Coturnix japonica: one gene and its partner. The protein of the gene in region 2 purifies or fractionates together with the protein of the main gene of each other region. This does not show direct contact. Links are inferred from orthologs where the notes say so. Each region holds a gene or a part of one and is shown on either strand. Other genes may lie near its edges. The genes, in order: KRR1 and ZNF346.

Region 1 (12,316 bases), on a different chromosome or scaffold from region 2:
GTCATACCAAGATTGTCCCCAACCCTAAAGGGCAGAGGTCCTAGATGATTCTCTATGCACACACACACACTGACTCTTTAACATATGTTCTAAATTCTTATTTAGACGCATAACAAAGAAAACAGCTGTGTTCTCACACCAGTTTCAAATAAAAGGCCACTAACCTAAGCAAAGTGAGCTGCAGTGTTCCAGCATAATCGTCTTTACCATATGTGCAAGCAATCAGAACTCTAAAGTCTGGTAAAGCACTCAAACACAGTCATGAAATTGGTGTGGCCCGACCACCTACTTACTATTACATTTGTTTCTCGAACCTGAGATGCATCAACTTAGTAACATCTGCTTTTCTAGTGTACTCAATTTCATCATAATTTCCACTTTTAGGAAATAACCTCTATACTTCCTTCAAAAAAAGGGGAAGGGGCTGAATAAAGGAAACCTAAAGTTTAAAAGGAACCTAAGTTCTCATTTCTTGTAAGAAATAAATTAAGAACACATGTAAAGAATGGTACCATTTATGTTCTCCCTGCAGCACATTTGCTTTGTGTCATATTCTGCCTAACAAGATAACGCTAATAAATGACCATTTATTAATGGTGTTCAATTAAGATTATGGTTGTCTAATCCTCACACGAAGCTGTGAGTTGCTTCTAGGGATACAAGATGTGGGTTTTGCAGTAGGTGAATAATTAAAGGATTTAAAGACAATATATTAAAACAGTTTATTGACATCAAGACAAGACACACAAAAAACCCCCTGCTTTTACAGAAGTAAAAGCATAATAAAAGTAATAAATCTTGCCCATCTTGACAGTTCTTTGGTAGTCTTTCATAGAAGATTTCCATTTAACTCCCACTGAGTTCTCCAACCTTTACCCTTTCACATTCTGCATCAAACTTCTAAATGTTTCTAATATGAAATGTCCTCGAAGCAGACAGGTGTTATCCAAATGTACTCAAAAGGTATGAGAGAGCAGATTTTGTTCACCAACTTTGACAATTCTGCATAGCTGCTCCAGGTCCATTTGTTAAAATGGGCTTGTGAAAAGAGAACCATCTTTCTGCCTAGTAATTTCTCATCCACACTACATTGACAGCAAGAAGTTTCCTCCAAGTCTTGGTTTTTCCAAGTGTGAGAACATTCATTATTGTAGGAGAAAATTGAGCAGAATGAGCAGTGAATTACTTCTTCCTTTTTTTCTTCTTTTCATCTGCTGCCATTTTTAACTTGACTTCTTCCATAGGAAGCGCTCCTAATTTCTTCTTCTTTGCGTTCTTTACTTTCTCCTTGATGGCTTCAATATCAATTTTTTTCTCAGTAGAAGCTACACAGTAAAAACACGAGCACAGAGAGACACAAGGTTTACTTCTCTTATTTTTCCACAGCCTGTGAGATTACTTCATGTGTATCCACATTAAACTGCATCCCGTAGCATTAGTTAGGATTCATTTTATGTTCACTAATGATTTTATAAACTATTCCAATCATTTTTACTTAATCTAGCATGATACACAAATCTTTCAACGGAATTCAAATGGCTACATCTTACACAAAGTAATTATGTGGAGAATTAACTAGTAGGGTTTAGAATGGGGGAAAAAAAAACAACTTACCTTTCTTTGCTTTCACAGCTGGCTTTTCCTTTGGTGGGATAAAAGCTTTATTTCTTTCTTCTTGTCTTTTCTTGACTGCATCAGCTTGCTTTGCCTACAGTTAACAATGACAAGTATGAAGTACCAACAGAGCCGGGCAAAAGGGAAAAAAACCAAAGTCAGAAATGAAGCACTTTTTAACTGGTTGTAACAAATTTACCTTTATTTCTTCCACTCGCTTTCGTTTCTTCTGGCTTTCTTTCAAGAAGTATTCACCACTTGCCAATTCTTTATCAATCTATACAAGAAAATTACCAAGAAGCTTTAGACAATTACACATTACAAGCAAGATATATAATATCAGGAAACAAAAACATGACAGAAAGGGCCCGTTAACTTCATCTTAACGAGAGCAGGATTTAAAACCACCATATACTCCTGCACAACCAAATAAAGTTTCAGCTGACCTGGCTTTCTGGCTGTGGAGGTGGGAATGGTGTGTACTCCTTCTTAACATTTTTCTTCTTTGGCTCCTTGCGTTTTTTCAAGTTCTTCTTCTTGAACTTAGGCAAAAATCTTTCCCAATTCTGTGTCCTCAGTTCAGGATCTTTTGATAATTCACGTTTGATCATCAAAGTCTTTGGTAGTTTTAGAACATCACAAAGAAGTTAATAAAACAATAGTATTGCAGTAGTATCTAAGAGCTCCAAACTAAAAGTTTTATCAAAGGTTCTTATAGCACAGTTTACACATATACATTTATATATATTCGTATAGCACACACTGAAACATAGAATTATTAACATAAAGCTGTGTACAAAGACTTAATGCTTTCAAAGGTGCACACCAACCTTAATGTTATATATGGGATGTATATTCTTCATTGTGTCCAGAACAACCTTCCTAACCTGTATTTAATAAAAGAAAATGAATGGAACACTCAGCAGGTACTTCATACTCTAATCAATTAAAATATCAAGGTCCCTAAGTTTCTTCAAAATCAGAACATTTCTCACCCCAAAACTAAGAGCAGATAGGCTAAAAAAACTACAAAGCCAATTAGAAGGCACAGTGCTTCAAAAATATCGTTAGCTATACTGTCATGCTTCTGATACACTGCAGCATCACAACAACCACTACTTTCATGCCATCATGGATGTTATGTTGTGTTTTAGCTTTTGACATCTATTATTCCCTCTAGAATTACTAAGAATATACTAGATGTTAATCCATGCTATATCACATTAACACTGCGATGTTTTCACTCAAACCTCTTAACTGAAACTACAGAAATTCTGCACTGTAAGCTACAGAAATAAAAGCCCAAGGGGCAGGACTAGACACACTATTCAGAAATACATGAAGGTGCCCCTTTGATATCTTTACTAAGCCTTACCTTAAAAAAAAAACCACAAAAAATACTTTTAGTTTCAAGGCGGAAAGATCTCAGCAGCTAACAAAATTCAGGAGCTAAGCCTATAGGAATTCACATAAAAGTAGCTTAATAACATGTTACTGAAAGGACAGTGGAGTAACTCTTGAGGCTACCAGACTCCGCCTGTACTCCACGCCACAGCTAGGCACAAAAGTGAGCTACATAAACTGCTCATCTGCCTTCCCTTACCTCTTTTAGCCCACTGAAAGGTCCAAGAGCTGAAACAGTGTTGCCTTGAACCATAATATAACAGTTGGTTAACAGCTCCAGGGCCTAGAACAACAAAAATGAATAAAGATAGTGTCAGCTGAAGGTCTGACACGCAGACCTTGTGTTTAAGATTTTTTATGGTAATACACTTATGAGGAATACCTTCAGAGTAGATCCTTTGGGCCCAAGAAGTCGTCCTCTTCTTTTTACAAAACTTTCTCTGTTCCTCACTAGGGAACCGATTTTAATGATGTCACACGCAACATCGTCCTGAAGAATACGAACTGCCTGAAGATAAAAGCAGCAGGTATTAACATCTGAATCCAAAAGTAACATTCACAAGAGCCAAAAGACTCATTTCAGTTGCAGATACGTTTGTTTTAAATATATATTTTCATATAATTATAGAATCACTTGAATTGGAGGGACCTTCAAAGGTCATCTAGTCCAGTTCTTTGCAATGAACAGAGACACCTACAGGCAGATCAAGTTGCTCAGAGCCCCATCCAGCCTGACCTTAAGAATCTCCTGGGATGAGTAGATACATACCTCCCTGGGTGACCTGTTCCAGCACTTCACTACTACCTGAAAAACCCATATTTTGAAAGCATACAACTTTATAAGCATTACAACATTATTGGCTACAAACCTGTTCAAATGGAACGCTTCTTGCCAGAAGTTTTATTAAATCTCTAGCCCTGATGATCGCATACGGATCAAAAGTCTTCTTAGTAGTCGTGACCGTCATGCTTCCTTCAATTAGATCCAGCGTTGCATTCACATACTGCAATGTGTGCAAATAAACAGCAAAGCAATCTTTAATTAGAAATCTAAGATTACATTTCTGGTAGCATGAGGTTAAGATGAAATCTCCTCATCTCCTTTCAAGTTAGCAGATTGTGGACAACAACACAGAAAGAATCACAGAATCACAGAACTGTAGGGGTTGGAAGGGACCTCTAGAGATCATCGAGTCCAACCCCCCTGCCAAAGCAGGATCCCTACACCACGTCACACAGGTAGGTGTCCAGGTGGGTCTTGAATATCTCCAGAGAAGGAGATTCCACCACCTCCCAGGGCAGCCTGTTCCAGTGCTCCGTCATCCTCACTGTAAAGAAGTTCTTGTGCACATTTGTGCGGAACTTCCTATGCTGTACTTTCATCCCATTACCCCTAGTCCTGTCCCCACACACTACTGAAAAGAGACCAGCCTCACCACTATGGCTCCCACACCTCAGGTATTTATAAACCTGGATCAAGTCCCCTCTCAGCCTTCTTTTTTCAAGGCTAAACAGACCCAGTTCCATAAGTCTCTCCTCATAGGGGAGATGCTCCAGGCCCTTCACCATCTTAGTGGCCCTCCGCTGGACTCTTTCCAACACCTGTTACTGGAGCAAGCTTTTATGCCAAAGTAACACCTGTATGTCCCAAATAACAGAGCAGCACATCACAACAGTAAGAACTCATACATGCTCACTCAGGGCCTTCTGGACAAGCGGCCAGCACTCCTTCAAATAGGCTTCTCTGTACTTGGGGAATAACGTTGCAAAGCTGCTTTCCTCCAGCAGCCCTCTGGGATTGTCCTCCCTGGTAAACGCTGGTTCCTTCCATCCATCCGGCACAGTGAGCAGTTCGGACTCATCGACTGCTATGGATTAAAAGACGACAGTTCGTTTCTCCATCTGAGCTATTCCATCTGCTCCCCATCTAAATACAGAACTAGAGATAACAGAACGCAGGCACACAGCAGGTGCTGCGTTCAACGCTCTGTTGGAGTCATTCTGCATCTCTCCTTACAGAATCACAGAATGACCCAGGTTGGAAGGGACCTCAAGGATCATGTAGTTCCAACCCCCCTGCCTGGCAGGGCCACCAAACATACACCTTTACTAGATCAGGTTGCCCAGGGCCCCGTCCAACCTGGTCTTGAACACCTCCAAGGACGGGGCATCCACAACCTCCCTGGGCAGCCTGTTCCAGGACCTAACCACTCTCCTAGTGAAGAACTTCCCCCTAACATCCAACCTAAATCTTCCCTCTTTTAACTTAAAACCATTTCCCCTAGTCCTGCTATTATCAGCCCTTTCGAAGAGTTTACTCCCCTCCTGGGAGTAAGTTCCCTTCAGGTATTGAAAGGCTGCAATGAGGTCACCCCGCAACCTTCTCTTCTCAAGGCTGAACAAACCCAACTCCCTCAGCCTGTCCTCATAGGGGAGGTGCTCCAGCCCCCTGATCATCTTCCTGTCCCTCCTCTGGACCCTTTCCAAAATCTCCATGTCTTTTTTGTACTGAGGGCTCCACACCTGGACACAGTACAACAGATGGGGCCTCACAAGAGCAGAGTAGAGAGGGACAATCACCTCCCTATCCCTGCTGACCACCCCTCTCCTGATGGAGCCCAGGATCCCATTTGCTTTCCTTACGGAAGTTACTGCCTTTCCCTCAGCACAAGAGAAGGATAATCCCGGCGGGCAGCAGCCCCGAGGCCCCGCACCCACCTTTGGCCGCTTTCTTCTTGCCGGGACGCCGCGCTTTCTCCCCCTCCGCCTCAGGAGCCGCCATGCTTACTGTGCTCACACAACTTCCGCCCGACACCGGAAGCGGAACCGGGGCATCGCGGCATGCCGGGAGCTGGAGTCCTACAGGCTGACAGGGCGAGACCAAGGCTGAGGCCTATGGGGGTTTGCGAGCCCCTGGGGCAGCCTAGAGAGCGGTGCCAGGCTTATGGAGGCGGGTTTATCATCAGACCTGCTCATAAAAGCCCGCCCTGTGAGTTGTTTAATTATCAGGGCCCTGGGCAACCTGATCTAGTAAAGGTGTATGTTTGGTGGCCCTGCCAGGCAGGGGGGTTGGAACTACATGATCCTTGAGGTCCCTTCCAACCCGGGTTATTCTGTGATTCTGTGTGATCATCATAGAATCACTGAATGCCTTAAGTTGGAAGTGACCATAAAGGTCATCCAATTCCAACAGCGCAGCTTAAAACCATTCCCTCTAGTTCTGTCCTTGCAATTAATTCCTTGTAATATCCACATTCATTTTTCCCTCTTTTAGTTTCAAGCTATTCTCCTTTTCCTATCACTATCAAACTGTAAAAATTCGGTCCTCCTTCAGCTTTTAAGCTCCCTTCAAATACTGGCAATCTGCAATGAGGTCTCCCCGGAGCCTTTTCTTCAGGCTGAACAAGCCCAACTCCCACAACATTTCTTCATAAGAGATGCTCCAGCCCTTTGATCATCTTCGCTGCCCTCCTCTGGACCCCCTCCAACAGCTCTCCCTAGTATCCACTATACACATGTGTAAAATATCCAAAACTCAGTATTGACACCCAAAGACCTTCCATTGTGCTGCACTGCTGCCTTTACCCGCTGGGTGGCACTGACCGCCGCGACAAAAGGAGCAGCCCCAGCGAGCCTCGGTGCCCGAGGAGCAATGGATCCCCCTGCGCTGCCCTGGCAATGAGAGCGGACAGAGTGCGGCTCAGAAGTGTCTGGTGAGATGCACCTGGATCTTCTCCACATTGCAGGCACGCTCCAGGGACGTCTGTCTCCAAGGAAATGGCGCTGTTGTTCTGCTTTAATTATGCCATAATTAAGTGCAACAAAACTGTTTGGAAAGAGCATACGTGCATGGCAGAAAGGCTCTGATATTGCAACTGGCTCCCCTGCAACCATGAGCACTAAACAGGGAGTTTATGATCCTGTGTTGATAGAGCACTTGGCATTCACTACACCGCCCTCATAGAATCATAGAACCAGAGAATCGTGAAGGTTGGAAAAGACCTCAAAGACCATCAAGCCCAACCATAGATCCAACCCCTCTACTCCTGCTCATGGAATTGTAGAAGCATTAAGGTTGGAAAAAAACTACTAATATCACCCAGTCCAATCATTGACCCATCTATGCCCACTTCCATCCACAGGGTCTCCAATTCCTTTCAAAACCAGACTGAAACCCATGAACGTGACTACTGAGCTATTTTGCGTACAGGAATATTAAGATGCAGACAAGATATTTTCCTTATTTTATCTCCAGGTGAGATCAGCCCACATGCAATGTGAGGATGAAAGTATATCACGGTACAGGGAAGAAAATCTAGTCTCAAATGAAGAGACAACACCATCAGACTTGGATGATGTGACTCGGGAAGGCCCCTCATGTCATCCATCCTGCTCCTGGTGGAGACAGTGACTTCTCAGCTTTCCTCTTATCTCAGGTTTTGCAGAGGAGCTGAATACAAGGAAGCCGCCTCCCTAATTCCTGTCACAGACCAGGTGCTCCCATAGACCCTTGTCCTCCTCCAGTCAGCCCACTTGGGTTCAGACGATGACAGATTTATATCACTTTTGTCAGACACTGCTCAGATGCAATGGCCAGCCCCAGCATGTCTGGCAGTGACAGACTGGGAGGTGGGACAGCTGTCTGGGGCTGGGGACTGCTGAGGGTACAGGGAGATGGAGGTTGCTGCAGGGAGATCCAGCAGTGCTGTACCAGACTGTGATGGGGCAACGTGTTTTCTTAAAGCAGGAGAACTAATCTCACAGAACTGTAGGGATTGGATCCTACCTCTAGAGATTATCAAGTCCAAGGCTCTGCTGAAGCAGCTTCCCTACAGTAAGGAACATGTATCACATTCCCTTTGTGTGATGGCAGACCTGTGTGCAGAAGGCTCCTTTGAAGTCTTTTGGCTGAATAACACAGATCCTAATAATAATAATAATAATAACACAGCCTCCAAGACCCCTACATCTGCTGATCCAGTTGCTGGGCCCTGGTGGAACCCAAACCAACTCTGTGTGTGTGTCTATGTGCGCTCACTGCTTCCCTGTTAGAAGCAAAGCAGACAATGAAACAGCACAGTCACACAGCTTCCCCTGAATGCACTTCAGGCTGTATGATAAAATGGGCAGAGTGCTGCCGTTAGGCTGAAGGTGCCTCTATTATGCAGCAAAGTAATTATTTCCCAGTCAGTAGATAGGACTCCAGCCACTTGGCACTTTCTTACGTGCCATTTTCAAATCCAAAAGAGCAACTTGGGATTTTGTGATAATTCAGGCAATCAGATGAGCTCATGCACATGGCATTCATTCACTAGAAATGCTGTGCAGATCCCATTCAGCCCCAGCACTCGTAAATCCATGTGACACTTTTATCTATTTATAAACTTTTAACAGCAGGTTATGATTGTTATGCAAGCCATTTTCCAGGGATTAATAAGCAGCTTGTGTTGATGGCAGTGAGAAGAACCATTAACTGCTCTGGGGCAGTCATTAATCTGTAGTAAATGCTCAGCACCTGCATCTTTTCTATGTAATTAAATAATCGATACTGCCTTTTGATTCAAATAACTGGAGAATTGTATCTCAAATCTGTCTTAGCTCAGGATATTCTTAATTCTTTTCATTTATGGCAGGTCAGGAAACAGCCACATGGGCAAGTGAGAGTCTCTCATGCAAAACACCTCAAGTGATCAAAATATAATTCAAACTGGATAAAAAATGGTTGAGAATGTGTTGGCCTTCTCATGTTCATATAAAAGTCCTCCATTATTTAAGTAAAGTTATGGCACCAACTGACCCAACACTCAGAGGCAGCCTGACAGAATAAAAATAACCAAGCAGAGAGCTCCTCTGCCCAGCTACCTCCAAAAAAGCCCCGTCCTCCTAACACGACCAAGGCTGACATGGCTTTGCTCTTGATTTCTCTTTCCTCTTCATTTCTCTCTCTAGCAGAGGTGTAGCACTTTTCTGGTTCTGTTTTATTCTTGACTTCACTGCTGAGTGCAGCAATCTGCAGAGGTGCTGACAGATAAAAGTAACGGTACCCAATGCAAACAATGCTGGTGTGGTGCTGCTGCCAACTGCAGGGAGCCTGAGGAGGGGGAGGTTGTCACAGGTGGCAAGCAGGAAGTAGGAGGAAAACACAACTTTCTGAAGAGAGAATGAGACTTAGTGTATCATCACAGGGTCATAAACAAATTCTCAGTTCTGGGCTCTCTTTTCACCAGGTAGCAAATCCATACCTTGCCACAGGTTCAGGATGGAGATATAACTGCAAACCTTCCTGCTAGTTGGGTTAAAGGAGAAAAAAGAGCAAGCACTCACACCATCAGCTATCTACTAATAGTGCAAGGCTGAAAAGCCAGGGGGGAGATTTTATGAGAAATGAGAGGTGTATCACTGATTCAAGAGCAGAGTTTTCAGATGTAGTACTTCCAAGGCTAGGCATGGAGAGGTAAGGAAAGAGGTTAAATGGTTAAAGGCAACCATTTAAATTCAGCTCAGCTGACTCTAGGAGACTGAGGGCTCCCCTTTGAAAGAGAGCAGAAAGGCAAGCACATGCTTACCCTAAAGAGGAACAAGGAGCTGGAACAAGAGAGGACCATGAATCATGAGATCATCTGAAAGGATTCACTGGAAAACCATAGCAAAGATAATTTGAGGCAGAAGGAAGAGCCCAGAATAAGAAGAAAAAAGCAACAGACAGAAAGGATGACAGCTTTGTCTGGGGAAAGCCTTGCCGCAATAAAACTGCTGTCACTAAGAAAGGGATGGAGCCAAATGGGAAAAGGAACTCAGTGTCATTATGAAATCAAAGCAGCAGGCTTAAATCAAAAGGTCTTTGGAGCAGGGGATGTGTCTAATCATGCATCGTACAGTGATGGACGGGACGGGGCTTTTTTCTTGACTTGAGCGTCTGGGGGTTGTCAGAAAGCAAACAACACACAACAGAAACTGTGCCAGGACCTGAGATACATACAGAGAGTGTGCAGCTGAGAGTGGTCAGGAAATACATTCCTGAATCCCTCCAAAATATGTGATTAAAATAATATTCACATTGTACCTGAGCAGCCAGGCTTTGAGCATTGCGGATTTTTAGGAATGCACAGTAGTGCCGGTGTGTGTTATTCTGAACTGTGCTGATAAAATACTCCCTCGGTCTATTTTTCTCTTGTACTAGTATCCAAGCATTATTATGCAGATTTCCACTATAGCAAAATTACAGCAGAATAAATAGCTCCGCTATACACGAAGGGGAATCCTATTACATCTTCAGTAACTCTCAGTAAGCATCATCGCTATTATACCAATTGAAGAGACAGAAAACAATTTTTAATTAAAAATATTTATAGCAGGCATAATACCAACTGCCAGTTTCACTATCCAGTGAATGCATTTTGCAGCTGGTACTAATTCTCTCTTATTTCCACGAGGTTAGCCAATATCAGCTGTTCATTAAGCAGAGGACATTTCAGGAGTATCCATATTATAAGCTGTAACTAACTGCAAAGTTCTTCCTTTGATAGATTTCAGGAAATCAAGATTGCTTCGCTGTGTTATTCTGGGACTTTATAATAAGGAGGTCATTTCCCAGTGATCTGAGTAGGCTGCATCATCAGTTTTATTGAAATCAATCCTACAAACTGCTTTCCAGCTGATAAGAACATTTTAATTAGCAATATATTTTTTGTCTCGTATCTGCAATGAAGTAGGGGGTGGGAAACTGATTGCGGCACATCCTTTATTTTACTGGGATAGCAGCATAATCAGAAGGTGTCAGCAGAAGCACAGATGAATTAGTTCTGAGATGCAGAGCCTGAGCTGTCAGGCTCCATGGGTGAGCTCACCTCTGTCGATGGCACCAGGCAGACTAGGGGCATAGCATGGTGCAGCTTTTCTGACCCAAGGACACCATGACAGTCACCCTGAAACACTCATGCTTTCTGTGTCAGAAAGCAAGACCTCAGTTCTTGCTCTGTTTAAATGTATGTGTCAGTGAATGTGTTGCATGTGGCTGCAGGTACCCTTGAAGCTGCTATAAGCCTGTATCCTATGCTGCAGGCAGGGGATCAAGCCCAGAGGATCCTCGCTACCATATCTCCATTCTTCCAGTCTCTGTGTGCCTGAAATCCTGAGCTGCAGTAGTGTCCCCACCAGCCTTGTGTCCACGGGGAGCTCTCTCACCATAAAAGCAGTGATTCAGCAGCACAGCTTGTCCTTGGTTCACATTCATGAGACTCAGAGGGAACTCAGTATGCTGAAGGCTACAGCCCATAAAATCTCATATGAAACTTTGTGTTTGCTGCATTTACCCCTGAGGTAACCAGTGGGAAAGTCCCCTGAGATTTATCAAAGTAGCATCTGAGAACTGTCAAACAAAACCTCTGTTCATAACCTGCCCTGTGACTCGCTAAATCCCACATGGTTATTGTTTTTCACTAAATATTAGCAGCCGGTTTCAAACCCCAGAATTTAGCAAGCTTTGTCTCATAAATAAGCATCAAGCCCCTTATGAATCTATGAAGTCATTTAGTACATGTGTATCCTTCCACCCACAGCAGATTTCACAGCACGTTCCCCTGACCCAGATCCACAGCGACCATCTGGAGCCTGGGGGACACAGGCAGGGACACAAGATGTGGAGTGCGGGGCAGCAGGAACTGCCCCAGAGACAAATGTGGGGCACTGGGAGGTGATGCCAGGACTTCTTTCAGAGCACTTTAAGCTTTCCCCTTCCCTTACCAAAGTAAAGATTTTAGGTGCCGAGCTTTCTCCAAGTATGGATTTGTACAGGATAGTGGTTTGATATGAGCTTGTGCACTGCACAGCTGCTGCACGGGACACTAGGTTTGTTGTAAAGTCATATCCGATGTGGAAGGAAACACAATGGAGCTGGTGGGTGGTGAAGTAGTTGTTAAAACAACCATTTGAGATGAAATATCGCAGACCCAAGTTTGAATGATAAAATTTGGTTTTTGCATGCCACCGGCAGGAAGAAAAGAGGCCATCTGTTCTCCAGGCATTGCACATTGTTAAACAAACCACTTGCAGCTTGGCAAATCGGAACATTAGAAGGAAGAATAAAAAAGCCGACTGTAGATGAGCGTGAATACAAGATGAGTCATTGAAGTTTACCCAAAAGCAACATAAAAATGATGGTCTGTGCCAGGAAGCTATGCCAGTGTATTCTCCAGGCCTTGGCTGTCTAGGGCAGAGGCCTAGCATTGCATTTGCCCACCACGGAGCCTGTCCAGGGCCTCTTGGCTGCTGGTGCATGGGGAGCTCGCGCATTGGTCTC
Region 2 (12,234 bases):
GAGCCGGGCCACCCCTGTGTTCCCAAACCCTAATGGCAAGCAGGCACCCTGCCCTACATCTGCACCCGATTTACTTGCTGGAGACAGCGGGGCCACGAGGGAGGGCAGTGGTTAGAGCTGCAGATGGGGCTGAGCTCCTCCCCAGCCGAGGGGCTCCCAGCGCCGTGCTGGGGCTCAGCTGGGCAGGCTCTGCAGAGCTGGCTATGGAAGGGCAGGGGATGGCGGCACTCCCATGGGGATGTGGCCGTGGTGGCTCCACACCCTGTGCTCGCTGCCAGCACGGAAGGCGCTGGGGTTTGGCCATGGCAGCCGCAGCCCCGGCACAGCCAGGTGCTGCCCGCAGGGCTCCAGGCAGGGACAGGAGGCACCGCTGTGGGATTAAAGGGCCATAGTGTGCTCAGCCTCCCCCAGCACACTGCCCCACTGCTGGGTCACAGCTCCCTTGGCATCACACTGAGGGTGCCCAGGATAAGTGAGGGCTGGAGCGTGCCAGCTGGCCCTGGCAGCAGGACATAGCCTGGACAAGGCACAGCCTGCAGCTGGGCAATGGGGCACCACTGCTGGGTACCATCTAGGCTGTGCTGGGAGCACATCCTGCCCCAGTGAGGCGTGGTGCAGACAGAGCAGTGGCTGTGCACCATCGCTCTGCTCCCACGCTGCCAGGAAATGGTCCATTGCCCCGTGGCTGTGATGGATGTTTTCAGCACAAGCAGCACAACAGCACATAGAAGTGCCAGCGCTCTGTGGGTGCAGACTGTCCTGCCTTCCCCTTGGTGACGTTGTGCGCCCCAGGCCACGCAGATGTGGCAGAGGAGCACAGTGAAGGCACTTGGCGGCTCCGTCCGGATCTCAGGGTGCCCGGGGAGAGCAGATGGGAACACAAACCTCCCATCCCTCCCAAACAAGTCAGAGGGGTCCGTATCCTCTCTGCTTTGCTTTGAAGGATGGCAGAAACCCAGGAATGGCTGTAGTAAAGAGGCAGCACCCAGAAGTAGTAATAAACACTCTATTCGGAGAGCTTCACCTTAGGGAAACAGCAGATACATAAACATCATGTACAGAGGAAGGCAGAACTGTCGGTACACAGTGGAGTGACACACCAGACTGGGCAGTGCTGGAAATGGATCCCTCCTGGTGTCAATGCACATCTAGCAGACACCTGCCCTCGTGCAGCGAGACGAGAGCGAAGCAGTGGAGATGGGAGCTGGAGGCCATCCAGCAGCACCAGGCACACAATGCTGCCTTTACTTCACTGCAATTTTCTGCTGGTTGATCAGCTCGCTTGGTTTAACAGGACTCCCTCTCAAGCAGGAGGCTGAGGTCAGCCCTCAGACGTAGAACAAGACTGGAAAACATCAGAAAGGCGAACCCAGCCCAGCAGTAGCCTGTCCTAAGGGGAGATGGCAGATCCTGTACAGGGTGAAGGCAAACAAAGCTTGTGCACAACCTTGAGCTGGGGGTAGGGGGAGGAAGGCACTCACTCCAAGTGCAGAGATCAGCAACCAGCTCTCTCCCATTGCTTAACCTGATCAGCACCCGCAGGGTTTTGGAGGTGCCCCCCCAGCCTGGCTCTCAGCCTCGCAAAGGCGGCAGCTGCTCAGCCTGGAACGCAGCACCGGCAGTGCAGGGCCCCACAGTGCCCTCCAGCAGCTGCTGCAGCAGTGGGAGGCAGCAGCTCTGCTCTGCACGTCCATCACCTCCACTCCTGTCAGCCAGGCAGGTCCTCGTCCTCCAGCTCCACAGCTGGGACAGGGACAAAGCCATGTGGTGCCCAACATGGAGCAGTGGCGCTGAGCACAAGGCCAGCCCGACAACACGGCCCCTGCGGTGGCCCAGCAAAGAACAGCACTGCCCTCGCTCAAGGGCGGAACATCTGAAGGACTCCTCCTAAATGCACAACAGCCTCAGATCCCCCCCTTCCTTCTGGGAGCTCTTTGAACAGACCCAGTGCATTAACACCACGAAGAGACCATCTGTCTTAATTTCTGGTTTTGAAAGACAGAACATCTCCGTGATGGTACAAATGTGTAAGAACTTTGAGGAGAGGGGTTGGGCAAGTAGTGCCTAATGAAGGACTAAGTAAGACTTGGAGGTTTCCAGCCAGCAAACAATTCAACCAACCTACACTGCACTATCCTGTTATTTCTAAACTCATCTCTATTCTTGTTTCCCTTTAAAACTCTCCTCCTCTATCAGCATTTTGCTGGCAGGAGGGAAAACGCTGCACTTACACACAGACTGACAGAACCCGAGATGGACCCTTCCTGCTCACCTTCCTCTGCTGACTGCATTCAGGTCTCGGAGATTTCCACCACTGCCAAGTTTGGCTGAGACTGGTTGAAGTTATGAAGGGTAAAGACACACACAGTGAATGATCACATACACCTGTTTCCATAGGAAACCAGGCTAAACTGTTTCTTCCTCCCACGTGGCAATGCTCAGAGTGAAGGGCTGAGCTGCCTGGAGAGCCACGAGCTCCAAGTCCTCCATCAGCCCAACGCTCCCACCAGCAGCACTGTATGTACACCATAAAACCACGACTACTTGTTAGACACCAAACGACACAGCTCCTCAACTGCAGCACTGAGAAAGGCTCTGACAGCAACCAGCGGCTCAAGGAATTCTGCACACAAACCTGCCCAGGGGAATCACCACAAGAGGTGCCATGCTGCCATTTCCTATGTTAGTTCTGTAAAAAGCCAGGCAACCCACACGGCGTCCCATTCACACTGCATAAATGCTGCTTGCTATGGATTAGGAGATCTCCTCCAGCTAAAGACACCTCTAAGCACGGGCTGCTGGCCTCCAGGTGCAGAAATCCACTATTTGCTCTGGTGAGGGAGGAGGTAGATGTTACCAGCCTGTTGCCAGACTCTCCTTACACCAGATACACACCTCTCACACTGCACCCACCTTTACAGGAAGCAATTACACAATGAAAACTACTCTAAGGGAGTGAAGTATTTGCTGTCTACCAAGTCTCTTTCAGCTGGATCCTTTTTTGGACAGATTCAGTCCCTGTTCTGCTCAACGAGTGCATACAGGAGAGTAGGGCTTTGCTTATCCAGAGGGATAATGAAACCATTGTGGGCTGGCAAAGGATGTGTGTTCTTGGGCCACCAACAACTCCAAGAACGGTGCTGCAACTCGCTCTAGAAGTCTTGGCTGAAGTAACTGTAGCCTCCTGGAGCAGTTGTTTCTTCCCGGACATACTGCTGTGGTGGGAATGGTCCCACAACCGGCACCGCTCCCGGCATCCTGGACATGGGAGGGAGAAAGAGGAAGAGAAACAGTGTCAGAATGGCTCTGAAATCTGTCAGCTGCAATCAGTGCTCAGAAAACACGGCTGCCAGCAGAGTAACAGGCTGCTATAGATAAGTCAACAACTTGCCAGAAAAGCTTCCAAGTGGATTCTTATCCTCTGTGTGTGTGTGTGTAAACAGACACCTTTAGTATGGCAGAATTAGCTATTGCTTAGCTCAAGGACCGTGAAGAGCTTCCACTACAAAGCAAGTATCCTGGCTCCTTTCAGACTGCAGAAGCTGGTCTGGAACAGGACTTAGCAGCTAAATCCAGAAGCAGCTTTCTGAAAGGGAATTATTTGGCTGAAAAAGCTGGAACAACATCCATGGCCTTAAAGTGAACAGTTACGCATGTGTGCTGGGAATGCCTTCAGTGTTATCTTTCTAGAACGGGATAAATTCAGGCTCAATGTCTGCCATCCACTGACCCTGCCGTGCTGTTTGAGAGTTGGCCTTCACAAAGAGACAGATAGGGCTTATGCCCTCCCAGCAAATACTCAGGAGTGCAACAGGGCTGTAATTCCACAGGTACACAATGCAAGATTCCAGTTTTCCTTTTGGTCTGTCTGGGAAATTCAGTCACCATTTCAGGCAGTATCTCCTAATACCTCTTTCTTCTAACCCACTAACCAGCTTCTAAGCTGTCTCACCACCCCGGGTCAGTTACCAACCCTCCTTAATGTAACGCTTTGAAATCAGAGATCTGAACTTTGCCAGCGTCCAGAGTAAGTACATTCAGTGTTAATCATTTCCCTGGCAGAAGACGAACGATACGTGCAGGGGATTCTCCTGTTTAACTCACCAGATGTGAGAGTGAGTTCAGAAATACAGTCTAGGTTTCTGGAGCGTGGTGACTATGTGCCACATTTTACAACAAGCAGATCCAAGGGAGACCAGAATGACAAGTGGACCTCCACTACATCACACTTTGCTTCTGCTCACATCCTGGTTCTTACAGAAGTGTTGTTTAACAAGAATCAGGATGGACGTGCTCGCTGCAGAGGTCCACGCTGACCTGAACCTCTAAGACACAAAAGCAGTTGAAAGGCACTTCTGCTACAGCAGCATCCTTGAGCTGTCTGCAGATGGAGCTGCTGAAGAGGCTGAGAGGGCGCAAACCTACACTGGTTAATTGGCTTCAGAGCAAACAGTACAAGCTTGCACAAAGCACATTGTTCTGCTTGCGAGGGTCAGCTTGAAATACACATGCAATACTGTATTAAAGCTATATTGAAAACAGTTTGAACAGCAAGGCTGGAGATACAGTTAAACAATACAGTTACTTACTGATTCTTGTGCTTGAAGCCACTGATGTGAGCTTGGTACTGCTCTATGGAGTTCAGTACTATGTTACATGTGTTGCAGGGGTAGCCCTTCCCAGCTGAAACAGACATCAATGTTAACACACACAGCACAGCTAGCCAACAACTTGGTGCCTGAGGTAGAAACAAGTGAGATAATCAATCACTTGATGTGTTAAACAACTGCTCAACAAAGCAAGTAGCAAATGAATAGCCTGACCAGGCAGGGAGGTCACGGGATCCCATATCCCACCAGAGCTGGGTTAGTGGTATGTGGGAAACAGGGCCAGAAAACCTTTCCTGATCAGAACGTGGGTTTGTTATCTACAAAAACAAACACCCATTTCCTGTAAGCAGTTCACAATATCAGATGAGGTGAAAACTTAGCAATTAGAACAGCAAACCTGACGTTCTAATGTCTCTGTAACTCCACTTTTCTCCCCAAGTCCCACTTCTCCCACTCTGTGCATCTCCTCACAACAAATCAAGGGAGATAATACGTTTGTAAATTTGATGTTTCAATTAAGAAAAAAAAAAAGAAAAGAGGGGAAAAAAGAAGCAGCCAAAGGAGATGATACAGAATGTCAAATTCCACAGCGCAGCGCTCTGCTAAGCCTTGCTGAGGGTGCCAATTGGGAGCATTAAACTCTGTCCCTTGAGCCCTTCAGTTACAGTCAGTGTTCAAATTAACTGCAAAAAAAAAGCAAGTCTCCAGCAATAGCTGCAGGATGCAGACTGGTGCTTCTGTGTATCACAACAGTGATACTGCTGGAATGAAAGTTCTGGGGGTCATAGATAGCAAACAAGCAAGCAAAGCAGCAGAGCTGGCCACAGCAGCCCGTAATGGGAAAGTCTTGGCATACATCCCTGTGACACTACATGCCCCTCGGTTCCGGCTCCCTGGGGAAGGGCTCTGCCTGGGAGTCTCACAAAGTAAACACTTCCTTAAGGGAAAAGGGGACACTCACTCTAGGGGTGCAGAGCAGCATAAGCACTGAGTGAGAAGCACAGTCCTTTACGGCACACTCCTGCACCCTACACAGTAGACTCATAGAGGAACTTTAAGCAGAAAGGCATCTTGGCTCTGCTGTGAATGACACTTCATCTGCTGAGGGTCAGATCCCAACAGGGATGGTGTGTTTAGAGATCAGAGCCTTTATGAAAGTATATATCAGAATTCAAGCCCAGTTTAGTAAGAGAAAACAAGAAGCTTGGGCTGGGAAGAACTGTGCTGGCATGCCAGCTTGGCATGGCTGTCAGCACAGAGAGACAAGCAAAGCGAGCAGGGAAATACACCCCTGAGTGCAGCCTGTCTCACCAGAACAGCTCCACACTATGTCACAGCTCTGCAGCCTCACCTGGAACAGCTTAAACACCACAGAGCTGTGGATGGAGATACTCCAGCTCTGTAAGCACTGCACAGAACACATCGATCACACGGCAACAGCACTGCCCACTTTCCCAGCCTGGGCTGGGGCTCCACAGCCTGAGTCACAACAAAACGGAACCACTGATCAGGCCCCGCTAATTAGGTAAAAGCTGATGGGTAACACAAGATTTGAATCACCTTTTCCATCTCCCACATGACTACACAATGTGGGAGAGAATATTGCTGGGATAATTGAGTTTAATTTCTCTTAAGTGTTACCAGTAGCTAAAGGTGGCCCGCAAAGTATTAGAATAATTAATCTTCTGCTTATGGGCATAGTTATGACAGGGAAAGAAGCCCTTGAAGAAGATTTTAAGATGATTTGTCTGCTTATTTACTTCAAGCATCCAGCAGGGTACTACACAATTCCTGGTCCAACAGAAGGATGCTGGAAAGAACAAGGGAGTTCACTGTGTGTGCTTTCACTGGACTCCAAGGGCTTTCATCATACAGAAGTACTCAAAAGGAACAGATCATAAACCAAATGAGTGTTAACTGTCTGCCTAAAGTTCCTCCTTAATAGCTCAATTTTTTCCACATTCCTGCTTGCTCCAGAGAGAGTTGCATCAGATGAAGTGCCCACACAGAGGCAGAAAGCATTCGGGGAGAAATCTCTCTGGCTTTCATGTGCTTTGAAGCAGCAGGTGCAGTTAAACCTATTTCTTCCATCTTTGCCTAGTCCCTTAGACATTTTTGAAGCATCAAATGCCACTTTTATCTTTCCATTTTGGATGCAATCCACCTAGCTGGAAACAGCACTGGCCAAAATCCCTGGATTATCTTCACAGAGAATAAAAAGGACACGTACTTGATGAGACAACATTGCAAAACACAACTCAAAGCTCCTCACGAGCAGCTACAGTCTAAAAACCTCTCCTGCTGCCAAGGCATTACAATACCAACCAGATCAGTCTTGTGAGACATCATCAAGATCCTCATGACAAGCAATTCTCCCCTACTCCCTCCACACAGAACCCCTCATTCAGAGTCCTGTCAGATGCACAGTGCTGCTCTCCCACCCTGCTCTCCAGCTCCTTACCAACCTGTCTGCTGTGAACTCACCGAGGAAGGACGATGTCGGTGCGTCAGGAGTTCGGCCATAGCGTGCCATCAGCTTGTGTTTGGTTTCTTGCTTTCTGTGTTTCTTACCTACATAATGTTGTTTTGCCATAAGGGGGTTGTTGAAAGTAGCGTGGCAGAGGCTACAGAACTTGTCTGGGTCTGTAATGTCCTTGTTCTCTTCATTAGAGGATACAGTAGAGGTGGGGAGGGTAGCGGGATGTTTCTGTGGGGGCACCACTTCTGTAGGATGAATCCAAACTCTTGGTCAGTTAAATAGAAAAAAAACCCAAAAAACAAAAAAACGAAAAAAGGTAATTTTATTTCCCCCAAACATGCATTAAACAACCAAAGAAACCAACCCAACTCAACCCCAAAACCATAAAACAGCCCCAAAAAGAAACCCAGTCAGAGGATGTAAGACCTCTGGATAAATCCGTGTTGCTCCAACCTCCTCCCTTATTGCTCCAGAACTGGAAGGCACAAGGTAAGACAACTCCCAGCAGGGGGCACAAACAGCAGAGAGGAGCTAAACACCTGCAGGCTCCTCTCACAGGGCAGCAGCAGACAGCAGAACTATGTGTGCAGCCTCCCTTCTTGAAGGCTCCTCACAGCCAGACCCTGCCTTGAGAATGGGCCGTGGCAGAAAGCGGAGGCAAAGCACGAGGTCAGGGCAAGCACACAGTCCCACTTCCCAGCCTCCGGCTGTTTGCAGCTCAGAAGTCGCCGAACCACAGAAGCTACAACCCTGTAGCTGAGCAGGCCTGACAAATTAATCTCACAGCAATGGGCTCTGTCCCATTTCTTGCATGCAGGAGCATTTAGCCAAGCCATTCTACCAAGCACGTTGTTGATAAAGGCCATGGATCTGGAGGCAGGCTGCTGGCTTTCCCTGCTTCACAGCCAACACCACACAGATGTAACAAGGATGACATATGTCCAATAGCACCTCCCAATGGAAAGTAATTACGTGCAGCATTTTCCTACTTTGAGCTTCACAACACAAAGGCACTGCAGGACAGACACACCTTCCACTTTAGGGGACTGTTGCTTCAAGTTCTTGGCATGAGTCTTCCCCAGGTAGTGAGATGTGGCCACAGCAGGAGAAGAAAAGGTCATGTTACAGATGGGACAACACTTGTTCCTGTCCTCCCCATTGGTGCCTTCCTGCTTGCTCTCCTGTGCACACAGAACGGCTGAGGTTAGGAAAAGTTTGTTACAACGAGGAACTCTAAGGCATTCAAGGAACTGAATCATCAGAGATGCTGAATGTGAAGTTGTTTGAATAAGACTTCCATTCCGCTCCTTCAGCAGAAGTGTTCCCACTTCAGATTCTCTTTTCCTCAGTCTTTTAGTGAAACACTACAGGTTCTGAGCCCAGAACAAGGCTAACTGCAGGGCAGCATGAACCAATCTGCCCCCTGCTCCCTAAGGTGTGAGTGAAGGAGCACAAACAGCGCTATCAGCTGGGCCATCAGCAAAGAAACGCCAGCTGGGCAGACAGTGGCAGTCACTGCTAGGCCTCACAATGCATGAAGGCAACCTCCTTCATCTCCCTTCCATCCATGCAACAAATCTATGAGGGTCAGGGACTACAACCAAAGCAATGACAGAAGTAGAATCTATTTCCCAAACGAGTCATGGAGCAGACGGCTGGTGAATAAACCCCTTAATGACCAAGAAGATGAAATAAAACTAAAAAAAGTGCAAAAAAAAAAACCCAACAACCCATGACTTAAAGAGAAGTGTGGTGAAGCAGGAACCCTGTGATATGCTGTCAGTGAAACAAAACGTTATACATGCTGTGATAACACTGACAGCTCCTTGCTTCTCTGCTCTTCTTGGAGGGCCCTTCAGAAAGAAGCAGCATGTGGTTCTTTAGGAGGGAAAGGCAACAGGAGCCGTACTCACCAACAGGGCTTAACCACAGAGCCCTTCCCAAAAGCTGTTCTTGGAGCCCACACCCACACAGCACAGGCTCCCCTCTCACCTTGGCGTCCAGCTTCATCTTCTTCCCAGGTGCCAGCTCCTCTTCGCCGTGGATGGAGAGATACCTCCGCACCTTGTTGGCGTGTTTCTTGCTCTGCGGGCAGCCACAGCGTTACCCATTGCTACCTATTGCAACCTATTGCTACCCATTGATACCCATTGCTACCCACTGCTACTAATTGATACCCATTGCTACCCATTGCTACTCATAGATACCCATTGAAACCTATTGCTACCCATTGATACCCACTGCTACCCATTGATTCCTATTGCTACCCATTGTTATGCATTGCTACCCACTGATACCCATTGCTACTCACTGATACCCATTGCTACTCACTGATACCCATTGCTACCCATTAATACCCACTGATACCCATTGCTACACATTGATGCCCACTGATACCATTGCTGCCCCCCGTTACCCATCGTTACCCATTAATACCCATTGCTACCTATTGATACCCATAGATACCCATTGTTACCCATTAATACCCCCCGTTCCCCCCCTCACCTGGTAATGCGCCAGTCGCTGTGACTCGGAGATGAGCAGCGCGCTGCACACCTTGCACTGCGCCTCGGTGAAGATGTGCCCGTTCTCCCGTATCAGCCGCTCCACTGCCAACACAACACAAACAACACAGCACACACCGATCTCAGCCCCATCCTCCCCCGGTGCCGCCTCGGTTCCGCTCCCCGCCCCGTGTCCCTCACCTGCCTCCTTCCCCACCGGCAGCGCCGCGGCGTCCCCGTTGCTACCCGCCCCGTCCGCCATCTTGGCCGCCCCGGTCGCTCTCGCGAGAGCGGCTTCCCGCGGGAGCGCCGTGTGCAGCACGTGTTGGTGGGGCGAAGCGGCGGCGGCCATGTTTGTTGAGGGCAGCGTAGGGGGCTGTGCGGCGCCGCCATTTGTCGCCGGGATCGCTGCAAGCAGGGAGGGGGGACTTGAACGGCTGCTGATTCAAGGCTGGAAGACCGCAACTCAATTAGTGGACACCGTTATGTTATTGCACCGTGTGAACTCAAGCAGTAAATAAGCCATCCATCCCGGCTGTACCCGAGGGGCTCCAATGGAGGCCTCAGCTCCGCTCCCCCGCTCCTTTAGGCCGCGCCGCCCGCACACGACATGGCGCCACCCGCATCGCACGGCCACGCCTTCCTGCCTCCCACGTGACGCGACGCCGACGCCGCCATCTTGATTGAGGGCAATGAGGCCTTCTCCGCCAAGTTGAGTGCGGGTAAGAGACCCGCGGTGCGGGGCGGCAATGGGTGGGATGGGATGGGATGGGGGCGGCGTGCGGGGTCCCGGTAGATCCCGGTAGATCCCGGTGGATCCCGGTAGATCCCAGCAGGTCCCGGGCCCGGCCGTGTCCCGCGGGGCCTTTTCCCTTGCGGTCAGCCCTATAGGCCTCAGCCCTGGGGCGGTACCGGCGGGGCCCGGCCCGGCTGTTGGCCCCGCACCGCCCCGTGCTGCCCGTCCGCTGTGTGTCCCTGTGTGTATATATGGGGGGGGGGGGGGGGGGGGGGGGGGGGGGGGGGGCCCCCCCCGGTGGGGGGGGGGGGGGGGGGGGGGGGGGAGGGGCAGCACCGTGTCCATCCCTGTGAATGGGGGGAAATGGGGGGTGGTTGTTTCCCACACTCCAGCCTGAATCTCAAACGGCTCCAAAAAACCCATCGGCAATGAGAGTCATTCATTTGTTGGCTCCGTTTTTGAAGCATTTTTCAAGCTGTCGCAGCTCTGGCAGGTCTGGAGCTGCGGTGTCAGGATTGAGGATGATTCTGTGGGTAATTGCTTTCTGATTCATCAAAGTGATGGACGAGGGGGGACATGACAAATAAGCACGAGCTGGGGATCTTCAAGGATATCCCTAAACATGGGCCTGGGGAACGGCCATTGTCAGGGGGTCACCTTCACTGCCAGAGCGTTTGCAAACTCAAAGCTTGGATCTCAAAGCTGGAAAATATGGGAAAATATGGGAGGCAAAAGGTGGGTTTGGCCAATTCAGGCTTTGTTTCACTGGACCTGAAAGCAGCCTGGTCCTTTGCAGAAGTGCTGAAAGCAAAATGCGGCTCCTATGCACAGCTTCCTTATCTGCTTGTTTGTTATCTGCTCTGCTGCTTGTTTTCTTCAGCTCTATCAGCTGGGCTAATAAAAGCTGTTACTGCTCCTACTCACAGCCCCGCGCAGCTACAAGTGATCTCTCCTCGTCTCGTTCCCTTAGTTACATTCACACAGAGGCTCTTTGCCACAGCTCCCCTCGTTTTCGGCAGCGTTGTGGGAGTTGTGTGGTTACATCTTTTACATCTTCTTTCCTCTCCCCCCCCCAGTTTTAAATGTTGGAGGTAGGTGACTCATGGTAACTCCAGCTGATCTCTTATTTAGCGCAGCGCATCGAGCGGAGGGGAGAGCTGGTGATAGCAGCATGGATTTGAACAGGACTCAAACACAAACGCTTTGCAGTTCCTTGTTGCTGGCTGCTGTGTTTTGCTACTGACATCTCCAAAGCAGCGACCCTGCCCAGGCTCAGAACTGAAACCCCTGTGTGTCCTGCTGATAACGGGGTGCAGTTCTATTATACCAGGTGGGCATCGAGGTTCATCTCTCTGGACAGAGGGCAAAGAGACCAGTTGGAGCTAAAGATAAAAAGCAGAGCAAGTATAACTATGGTGTTCCAGCAACAGCCAAGGTTCAGCTCAGCTGGAGCAGAACAGCTTTGTTTTGCAAGAGCTTCTCTATAGAGCAGCTCTTGTTTTAATTTTCCCATCCCAAATAGACAAGTGTTTTGAGACTGCAGTGATGATTGCAGCCGCTTCTGGAGCTGTGCGTGCAGTTTGTGCAATGTTCTGTCTTTAGAGGGCTCAGCAAGTCTTCAGCGTAAATCCTTGCTCACCGAATCATCATCTTTTGTCTCCACACCAATGTGTGCAGAGGAGACAGGCAAGGGAAGCTCTGTGCTCTGCAGTCATTCAGAGGCAGCACGTCCTCTTGGTTCAACCTGGACCCAGTGCTGCTGGCTGTAGGAGGGGGTGCACCCCTGTTCTGTAGTGCTAATGTGGCTCTGAACTTTGTGCTTGCAGCATTTCCACATGTAACGGCTGTTTGCAGTTCCGCTGTGCTACAGAAGAGGGTTTGGCTGTGCGTTGTGTAACGCGGGGT

Evidence for each region.
Region 1: the proteins of ZNF346 (region 2) and KRR1 purify together in Homo sapiens (affinity purification with mass spectrometry; 3 studies listed by BioGRID and IntAct, with this or other methods). This does not show direct contact. The link is inferred for Coturnix japonica from reciprocal best matches to the Homo sapiens genes ZNF346 and KRR1.

What each region holds. Positions count from the first base shown.
Region 1 is NC_029516.1:34,297,059-34,309,374, forward strand, and holds KRR1 (KRR1 small subunit processome component homolog), read right to left. Parts: upstream 5,859-12,316; 5' UTR 5,801-5,858; coding exon 5,737-5,800; intron 4,887-5,736; coding exon 4,708-4,886; intron 4,023-4,707; coding exon 3,888-4,022; intron 3,527-3,887; coding exon 3,401-3,526; intron 3,302-3,400; coding exon 3,218-3,301; intron 2,502-3,217; coding exon 2,445-2,501; intron 2,232-2,444; coding exon 2,061-2,231; intron 1,892-2,060; coding exon 1,814-1,891; intron 1,709-1,813; coding exon 1,615-1,708; intron 1,326-1,614; coding exon 1,183-1,325; 3' UTR 708-1,182; downstream 1-707. UniProt on the Homo sapiens protein: Part of the small subunit (SSU) processome, first precursor of the small eukaryotic ribosomal subunit.
Region 2 is NC_029528.1:12,083,246-12,095,479, forward strand, and holds ZNF346 (zinc finger protein 346), read right to left. Parts: upstream 9,961-12,234; 5' UTR 9,946-9,960; coding exon 9,795-9,945; intron 9,699-9,794; coding exon 9,595-9,698; intron 9,175-9,594; coding exon 9,082-9,174; intron 8,271-9,081; coding exon 8,120-8,270; intron 7,335-8,119; coding exon 7,095-7,334; intron 4,739-7,094; exon of another isoform or gene 4,684-4,738; coding exon 4,590-4,683; intron 3,259-4,589; coding exon 3,153-3,258; 3' UTR 993-3,152; downstream 1-992.